2 linked regions of the Schizosaccharomyces pombe genome follow. The protein of the gene in region 2 interacts with the protein of the main gene of each other region in a biochemical or structural test. Each region holds a gene or a part of one and is shown on either strand. Other genes may lie near its edges.

Evidence for each region.
Region 1: the proteins of csi1 (region 2) and alp7 form a complex in vitro, tested with the Schizosaccharomyces pombe proteins (one study listed by BioGRID).

Annotation. Positions count from the first base shown.
Region 1 is NC_003424.3:5,001,813-5,006,239, forward strand, and holds alp7 (kinetochore-associated protein Alp7), read right to left. Parts: upstream 2,674-4,427; 5' UTR 2,384-2,673; coding exon 959-2,383; 3' UTR 588-958; downstream 1-587. Other genes in the region: tbc13 (GTPase-activating protein), read right to left, coding at 1-164; serine/threonine protein kinase Ppk16, read left to right, coding at 2,859-2,882, 2,930-3,023, 3,091-3,140, 3,309-4,427. UniProt on the Schizosaccharomyces pombe protein: Required for bipolar spindle formation and proper chromosome segregation. Has an indirect role in connecting the kinetochores and the plus end of pole to chromosome microtubules by targeting alp14 to the spindle pole body.
Region 2 is NC_003423.3:3,459,725-3,464,688, forward strand, and holds csi1 (protein Csi1), read left to right. Parts: upstream 1-1,613; 5' UTR 1,614-1,715; coding exon 1,716-3,317; 3' UTR 3,318-3,490; coding exon of another isoform or gene 3,491-3,697; 3' UTR 3,698-3,737; coding exon of another isoform or gene 3,738-3,786; 3' UTR 3,787-3,832; coding exon of another isoform or gene 3,833-4,068; 3' UTR 4,069-4,109; downstream 4,110-4,964. Other genes in the region: dcd1 (deoxycytidylate deaminase), read right to left, coding at 191-510; 2' O-ribose methyltransferase Mrm2, read right to left, coding at 3,491-3,697, 3,738-3,786, 3,833-4,068, 4,110-4,160, 4,210-4,323.

The sequences.
Region 1 (4,427 bases), on a different chromosome or scaffold from region 2:
CTATCGGTAGGAAGGAACTCAAGCATCAACATCCAAGCTTTTGCCCTAAGTGAATATTCATCAGGAATTCCTTGAATACAAAGCGAGCATAAACCAGGGAGAGAAATTGGCTCTTCCGAATTTAAAATGTCTTTAAATTTTTCAATGCGTTGCTTATAGTCCATAATAAACTAGAAGCGATTCAAATAAGATATTATGTAGTTTGACTATATCCAATTTAGTTATATTATCATATATAAAATATTACTGTTGAAAATTAAATATATGAAGAAAAGGAGAGCGCAATTGGTGTGTTCAGTAGCCTGTTTCACACGTGGATGATGGAACTAAGTTAGCTACTAAAATTGAATGCAAGTTTAAGAACCGACTAAATTTTCTGACTTATTTTTTATACTAATTTCCTTCTTAACAATACTTCCCTAATCAAATACTGTAGGAAAGTACAGAGTAATGAACGTCCTTAGTAGATGTACAGTATAGGTAAGATTGATGTAGGTGCAACATACAGACCAGGAAAGAAATATTTGGTTTAAACAGCACCTAGAACGAGCAATTAATAATAATTGGATATTTATTAAATAAATGCACCGTTTTCTAATGTATGTATGTGAGAAATTAGCCTTGAGATTGGCTCCAGTTTTGATTCTATCTATAATACAAATAAAAGAAGAAAGAGTGGATATGCAATTTATATTAGGTTGTATATCGAACTGTTATGATGTATAAATATACGAAAATTGGTAGATAATGTATAACCATAAAAGAAGGCTTAATTAATGGAAATCAAAAGAATTCGGGTTGTATTCATGAAACTGGGGTCATCAATATGAAACTAAATTAATCATGAGAATACAGAAGTGGTTTGGATAAAGGAAACGGCATCAATACATTAGCAATACTCTATCAAAAAAAAAAAAAAAATTATGGAGATTGTTTTTATCAAAAATGAAAGCGCAGATCATGATTTTTGCTCCAAATTCAGTTGATCCATTGCAATTACCAAGTCCTCGCTCATTTGTATCAACTGTTGTCGTTCCTCCCTTTCGACCCGGAGCTCTTCTTGAAGCGCTTGCAGTTGTAAACGAAGTGTTTCCAAATCACCTGTCTGTTGTGATTGTTGTTGCATTAGTAACTTATCACTCTTCGCCATATCAGCTTTAAAATTGTTCAAAAAATCTGACATATCTTGGCGCTCTTGAATGGCTTTCTCCAGCTGTTTTTGGAGAGTCTGATTGTCTGCTTTCAATGCTCGCCTTTCTTCCTCCCAGTTACTGTTGGATATTTTTGGAGCATTAGGAGCAGTACCGATTTGATTTTGAAGCTCCTGTATAGTTGCCTCGTATTTTCGAGCATAATTGGCTTTGAAAGCATTAATTTTCTGAGTGTGCTTGGCTGAGTACTGAGCATGTAAATCTTCAGCAACTTTTTCCATGCGTTCTTGAATTAACTTGTCAACTTCCTCTTGAGTATATTTACCTCTCTGAAGAGCTAATGTCTCTTCATTATGCCCTTCAACAAGTCTCATGTTGGTATCCTTTGTGGAGGGACTAGTCGATGCTTTTCCAGATCTAAGTTGCTGAAGTTGGTCATTAACGGCAATCAATTGTCCCGAAACATTGACGATTGTATTTTGGAGTACGGAAATTTCATGATAAGTGCCAGCAAGTTTGGCTTTGTAGCCCTCTATTTCAGCTTCGTATTTCGCTTGCTGCTTTTGAGTGGAATTAATTGGGTATTGAGTAGGTATATCGGCCTGTGAAGTTGATGGTGTAGCAGAGTTGCGAATGTTGTCTTTCAAATGCACTGGTGGGTTCAACGGCGCCGTATTAGTTTGACGTGGGAAGCTTCCGTTTGAAAGCACTGGGGGCCTAGAACTAGCTGATGTTTGCAAAGATGATGAATGACTGTATGCAAAATTAGATGGAGCGGTATTTAAAGAGCCTCGTTGGGAGGCCGCATTGGACGATGAAAATAAAGAAGGATTCTTCGGCGTCAAAATAGATTCTACATTTCTTTTTCTATGCTTAAATTCTGGCGTTTTATGCTGTGACAAAGGATGGGATATGGGATGCATCGGTCTAGGGGTTCCTGAAAAATCAAAAGATTTATTCAACTCTAAGGCTTGTAGTCGATCGCTTACTCGCTTATTAAGAGTATCCTTTAAATTCAGCTGTGGATTGGGTTTAGAAGTTAACTTAGGGAATAATTTAGGGGCAGGCATGGATTCCTCTGAACTTCGTTGAGCTGGAGGAATCAATGATTCTGAAGAGGCACCTTGCCTTTTTTCATGAAAACCCGTATGATCAGTTTCATTTGTCCCAATACTAGATGAGGAGGGAGACCTCCTACTGTAATCTGTAGAGCTCGAAACGATATCACTCATTTTCGGTTATGACTTTTTAAAATCGTCAAACGATATAAAGAACTAACAGATATATGAAATATAAATACACAAGAAAATCCTTTTTCAAATATTTTACAGCTGGTATTATCGTTTCAAAGTTAACGATCAGTAGCTAACTTTTATTTTTACTTTTTGAAAACTGGTCAGATGTCCGCCTACGTAGAACAATGGTTCAATAACAAACTTGAGTCATACAATGCCCAATAAATAACCCCTTATTGCCCTCAATTCTTCGTCTTGATTCAACACTAGGCGTACAATGGTGGTGTAAATAAAAGGCACATACATACTGGTTTACACTGAGTAAGGAGAGAGTGGGAAGAGTTCACCGAGCTCTCGGTGAATTTTCGGTAGCTTGTTCTCCGAAGCCTTTGTAATAACACCAAAGTATCCTACTGTAAACACTAAACAATTTGCAAGTCAACCTTTGATATTATGTGTGCCAAATTTTAGTATGAAGAAAAATGAAAAGGCAAACGTATGTATATGAAAAGAGGGAAATCGTGATTATCTAATGAATGGCAGATATCGGCCTCATACAATGACCTAATTGCAACAATTTGCAATCCTCGTATCTCTGATGTCGGTACATATCGCATTGAGAGTGTTGTCGGTGAAGGTACGATACTTTTGTGTTATTGTGAACGCTCAATACTGGACGGCTATCTAACAAGCATGGGTTGTAGGCAGCTTTGGAAAAGTTTATTTGGCAGCTCATTTACTGACAAATACAAAGGTATGGGTTATTCAAAGATTACTATGTCTCTAAGTTATAAAAAGAAGAATAAACGGCTCGTAAATTGCGAATATTGACCGTTCCAAAGTCGGTTGATTACATTATGAGAATGATAAACGTTTTATTCATCAATAAATTGATTGTACCTTGCTAACATTTTTATTAAAGGTTGTCCTGAAATCATCTTGCAGGAAACAAGCGATTATCCTTGCTCGAGAAATTCATCATCATCGGCGTCTTCTTCATCCAAACATCACGAGGCTTTATGAAGTAGTATGCACCGAAGACCGAATTTATCTTGCCATGGAGTATTGTCCAAATGGTGAATTGTATGACTGGGTAGCGAGAGAAAAAAGGCTGGATGAAAAGACCACTTGCCGTATCATGTGGCAGCTATGCTGTGCTATTCAGTATTTACATAGACAAGGCTGTGTTCACCGTGACCTTAAACTCGAAAATATTTTTCTAGATAAAGCCTACAATGTTAAGCTTGGAGACTTTGGGTTTTCTAGAGATTCTGATTGTTCCCGTAGAACATTTATGAACACACGTTGTGGTACAGTTGCTTATTGTGCTCCGGAGCTAGTACAGGGCCATAAATATATTGGTGAATGCGTTGATATATGGTCTCTGGGTATAATTATGTACGCTCTCTTAATAGGAAGGCTCCCGTTCGACGAGGACGATGTATCTTTAACTGAGCAAAAAATTATCAATGAATGTCCTCAATATCCTGAAACACTCTCCAAAAACTCTTCAAGCTTGTTGAAATCCCTCCTTTGCAAGGATTACCGACTTCGACCCTCTATCGATCAAATCATCTCTCACCCCTATTTCAAGGAAAATGGATATCATTCATCTTCTATTCGAGACCCAAGGCCTTCCTCGAAAGCAGAGGAAAAAGTTCGTAAAAGGCTTGAATTTGTTGGTGTTGACATGGATCAACTTAATGCCAGCATCTCACAACAGCGCTGTGACATGTTCTATGGATGGTGGCTTTTATTACTAGAAAAAGAAATGCGTAAGGAAAACAAAAAAAAGAAAGGTTTGTTTCATTTACATAAAGGTTCATCTTCGGCTGTACACATAGCTCCAGCAACTCCATCATTAAAAACCGCTCAAGTTTCTGTTATGTCCAACAATCAGGATTCTTTAAAAAGTCGGCATACATCGTCAGATTCAAGTAATTCTTTGCTTTCTACATTTCGTAGTTGGTTATTCGATCCTAAACAAAAGCATACTGCTGATACGTTAAGCTCATCAGCAATTAGACCAAGAACACCTAGT
Region 2 (4,964 bases):
ATATGTCATCATTATTATTTCACGCAATATTCAGTTAATCATGAGGAGCTTATGTAACCGTGTAATTTCGAGCATGAAATGAATGAAACTAACAAGATATTAAGGTCCTTACACTGAACACATTGCGTGAAGAATAATGACAATGAATTTAAAGTTAGCAACAACATGTTGACATTGCAATATTACATACGTTTTGTAGCGATTGAACCTGAGCATAATTGGGGCATCAATATATACAAGCAAAAAGAACGGACGTTTGAGCAATGCACTTAACAAACGTGGACTATGAATTCCATTAATTACAAATCTTTCGCGCCATCTTGGAGTGAGATAGCTAATAAGATCGTCAACGCTGCCAAGGACTAAATCGCCAGTTCTATATATATATTCTCCATCCTCGTTTAGTTGTGGTAATCGAAAAATAGCATTGAAACCATGCTTTGTCTCAAGGTATTCAACAACGGCATCTTTTCCACTACATAATGGCCCTGTAAGACCAACAGTTGGCATATTTATTTGCTTAATAAATCAAACAAAGCTACTTAAGCTTAAGAAACGTATTTCAGTTTGATTATCTCCCCAAATAGTTAGAGATAGATCGGTTTTAACGTACTCACATACCTAATGATACTAACTATCAATACCAACAACGAGTTGCGAAAATGCTAACTTTCAATTTCGTAAAACTATGCTTCTATAATCTGTAATCTTTTTAAAAAATAAAATATATATTTAATGAGATTAAAAACTATTTGCTTCCAAATCTTCACGAATCCTTGAATATTTCAGATTTTACGTTTCACTGTACTGGACCAAGAATCTAAAAAATCCTTTTAGTGAATTCGAATAAAGTCGTTTTTGGTTTTAAGTGTATTGACCTCTCTTTTGCTGGTCACGCTAAAGTTTAGAGCACTCAAAAGTTGTACTTAAGTGCTGTGTACTTCAACAGCAACAACAATAAGATCATTAACTGTATATTGTTAAGGAGAAACTCGGAACAAACGCATTCAACTAACAATGAAACCATTTTTATCTAATTAATGTTCATCACATCAAATTTGATAATGAGCGCATTTCATGTAAACTCATGTGAAACGATGGAATCTGTCGAATAATATTTTTTATGTGCGAATATTCAGAATTCTTCTAAAAGTCCAGTAATTACATACTAATCGTTCGTAAAATTATGTTTACGGTTAGATTACTATTGCATCGTAGGCCTAGCATTAATTGTCAAGTCAGCAATTCAACAATGATATTTATATGTGGCACATATTCTTTTTCTCAACATCCTATTTAATGATATTGGAAAATTTTTTTGTTTTCGGGAAATTAAAACACTACAGAACTCAACTGGACTGAGGAAGAGGTTGAGTTATGAGCAGCTTCAGTAGTAAGTTAGAAGGTTAACTTCACGTACCAACTTAATTAATAATCGAGCTCACAGCAACATAAGTGATGATTGTTGGTGATTTAACGTATCATTAAAGCTAATTACAGACTACATAATAAGCATTAAGCCATTAACGTGTACTAGGTAATACTCACGACCGTACTGTAGAGCTCGGTAAGATCGTAATTTTGTCAAGTTTCCTGAGGTTTAATAACCCTTTGGTTGCAAATTATTGTTAATCACGATCTTGTAACTCCTATAATTATTGAAGTCAGTTTGCAAAGAATTTAGAATTTAAATCACCAAATAATTTGGGCATGAGATGAGTTTCAATCCTGCAGCTGGACTGCTGGGAAAATTAAAGAAATTATGGAATGATACAAAAAACGATTATTTGGAATGGGAGCGAAGCCAACAAGGTCAAATTAGTGAGTCAGTGGTTAAGAATCACTCACCCTCAAAGCGAAAGCGACGGCCATCGAAGGAGCCTTCCCTATCACCTAAGCGAAGAAAAAATATTTTAAATGATCAAAAAAAAGATGAAGAGTCAATACCTAATGCTGGTACACAATCACAAAATTTTACTCACTTAAGTGCATCTAAAATTCGTATCTCAGATGAGGATCGAATTAAGCCATTGGTAGATTTAAATCAAGATCACTCTTTTGACATGGCATACTTAACACCTGCAAGCGCTCCCCCTCCGCGATTTCGATTTGTACCTCCAAAATCTGACGCGAAATCTCATTCGGCTCCTAGATCGCTAGAAGGTGTTACTAGCTTATCTGATTCTCATTTCAATTCCCTTGAAGCAAACTTAAAAGCGATTTCGAAAGATAGCAACAATAAAGCGCACAATAATCGTTATGATGAGTCTTCGCTTACGAACCCTGAATTTTCCATCCTTGTTGAGCGTTTAAAAAGTATTGAAGAAAATTTACAAAGCCTGCAGGAAAGGATTTCTCATTGTGAGCGTTCAGTTAGTCTTAGCCCATCTTTTGCTCCACCATCTAACGTTAAAAGTCCAGTCCAACAGCACCGGTCTTTTGTTTCAAGTTCAGCAAGAGCAAAAAAGAATTGGGGGAGACAGTCGAATAGTCCGAATAGTAATAAAAAAACCGATCATGCATACCCAGGAGCTTCAATGAACACTGAAAGGGGTTTAATTCAAAACTTAGAAGATTCAGATGATATCCATGAAGAAAGTTCGGATACCTTGGAAGAACCTCTGTTAATTAACGAACTAAACCGGACTTCCTTTCTCAACTCCAATAATAATTTAAAATTGAATGAAGCTGAAGAAAATCAAAATTTATTGAATCTTCGAAGTCCCAAATCATCTGGAAAGGCTGATAATTTGACTATAAAAAGCTCATCTAATATTGATAAAGTTACTTCAAATGATCTCTATCTTGATAATAATTTGCAAAGTCATTTTAAAGTGACAGAGAGTCAACCGACTAATCTAGGGAGGAAAGAATATTCAAATTCGCCTTTTTCTATCAGAGCTAGAAAAGATGCAGCAACTACTAGTTCCTCATTTGAAAGTTATCACAATACACAAACGATACAATCACCTATGAAATTTACAAAAGCGACGCCTTTGAAAGACAATGAGTCAGCTAGTGTCGATGAAAGTAAAGTAAATGTGTTGTCGGAGAACCAGTCTTTACAGGCCGATACCGCTACGTTGGAACAACTTACACCAATTCCAAAGGCAAGGTGGAACCAACTTGCAAATAAACACCCTTCCCTTTCTAATTCAGCTGCATCACCCCCTGTTTCGTCTCCTGGGCTCAGGCGCTCCCATATCCCAGTTCATGAAGGACTGAAGCATACAAGAGATGGCGTTGCTGAAACGAAGGATGCGCTTGCAAAATTAAGGGAAAAAATGCAGGAGCGACTAAAAAACCATACTTCTTGAGGAGGCACTTTAGTGCTTAACCTAAAACCTATCGCAGGCGATTGTTCTTTAGTTTACGCTTCATCTGACAACTTTTATAATACGGAATTAATGCAACAGTATCTTTAGACTCCTTTTGGTATATTAAATATTTTCAATTAATGTTCTCCTTTCACAACGAAAATTGACACATTTTAGGGCTTGCGTTCCAAGCAAACAAAATACGCTTCCCGTGACTCTTTTAAAGAGGCTTTCGGTTTCATCACTTGGACGAACCTAAAGTGAGATTTCAACAAATTTTGTAAGTCGGCATCTTCATCCCCCATGTAAAATTTACAAATAAACGAGCCATTTGATTTTAAAAAGGTTAATGCAACATGAAGCGCAGATGCACAGAGTTCCTATAGTAGGTCAGAGAAAATTTACAAGAAATGTATTTACCATGGAGAGAGCATGATCCCGGATCCGAATCCCTGTAGCCTTATGAAGCCTAGGATGTTAGATGTAAATATATTTTAGACCCTGTATTTAATTACATATCACTTATAACAGCGTCGACCACCCGACAATCAATGCTATCATTCGTATTAGGCTCATGTAGTAGCCGTAAAGCCTCGAATAGTTTAGTCAGGGTGTTTGGATCACGAATATCACCGTAGATGGGTAATACCCCTTCTGGTGGAGCTATGTGCTGAATATCAATGCCTATTACTTTCCCTTTATTTCCAACTAACTTTTTTGCTACTTGCGACCATGATCCAGGTGCAAATCCCTTAAAAACGTTAGGCTTATGATAATTAGATAATTTAATACCACGTCAATCACCACATCTTCTTTATTAATAAATCTGTATTTGGAATTCAACTATCAATTAGTATTATTATCCAAAATCGTATCGACGTGGTAACAGTACCTCTATTAATTTGTATGCTGCTCTCGACCGGAAATTGTCGATTTTACTTTTTTTTCGATAGAAATCTTTTGAACGCTTAGCTGCCCAAGAAAAAAGAGTTTTGGAGCCAAACATCTCCTAAACCCAAAGTGTTTGTGAATACTAGATCAAATTTTTACCAAAATATGAATTGAAGTATGACAGAATTTATTAAGTTAAAAAAATAGTGGTTTTATTTATTCTTTCATCAAACGTGTCTAAAAAGGACTAATCGCTTTTTTTATTCTAGTAGATGGTTTAATTTCTAAAACGTAAAAATATTACTTTAATAAACCAGATGAAGAAAATAACTCTAATCAAAGTACAGCCGTCTCAATCTATTTCACAGTTGCTTCTTTACGAGCATTGAATGGATTAAGTACTGTATTTTACGCTATATGACGCTACGTTACCTGTCACTATTTGCCATAAAAATACTAGCAAATTCGTTTATTGATAATTGTAAAAGACTATCCGTATTATTCACACAGATACCTAGAGATATCGGGTTAAAAATTTTGCAAGCTATATTAATGATTGGCTATAAACTTCGTAAACTAATATTAATAGGACTGCTATTCATATTGCATACCGCGATTTTATAAATTACCAGTAAACACACCGCAATTTATGATTGTAAAATAGATACCAAACTGCATAGTAAGCAACTTAAGTAATACACAATAAATCTATAAAATTCACTATTTATGATTAAAAATATACATAAATTACCGCTA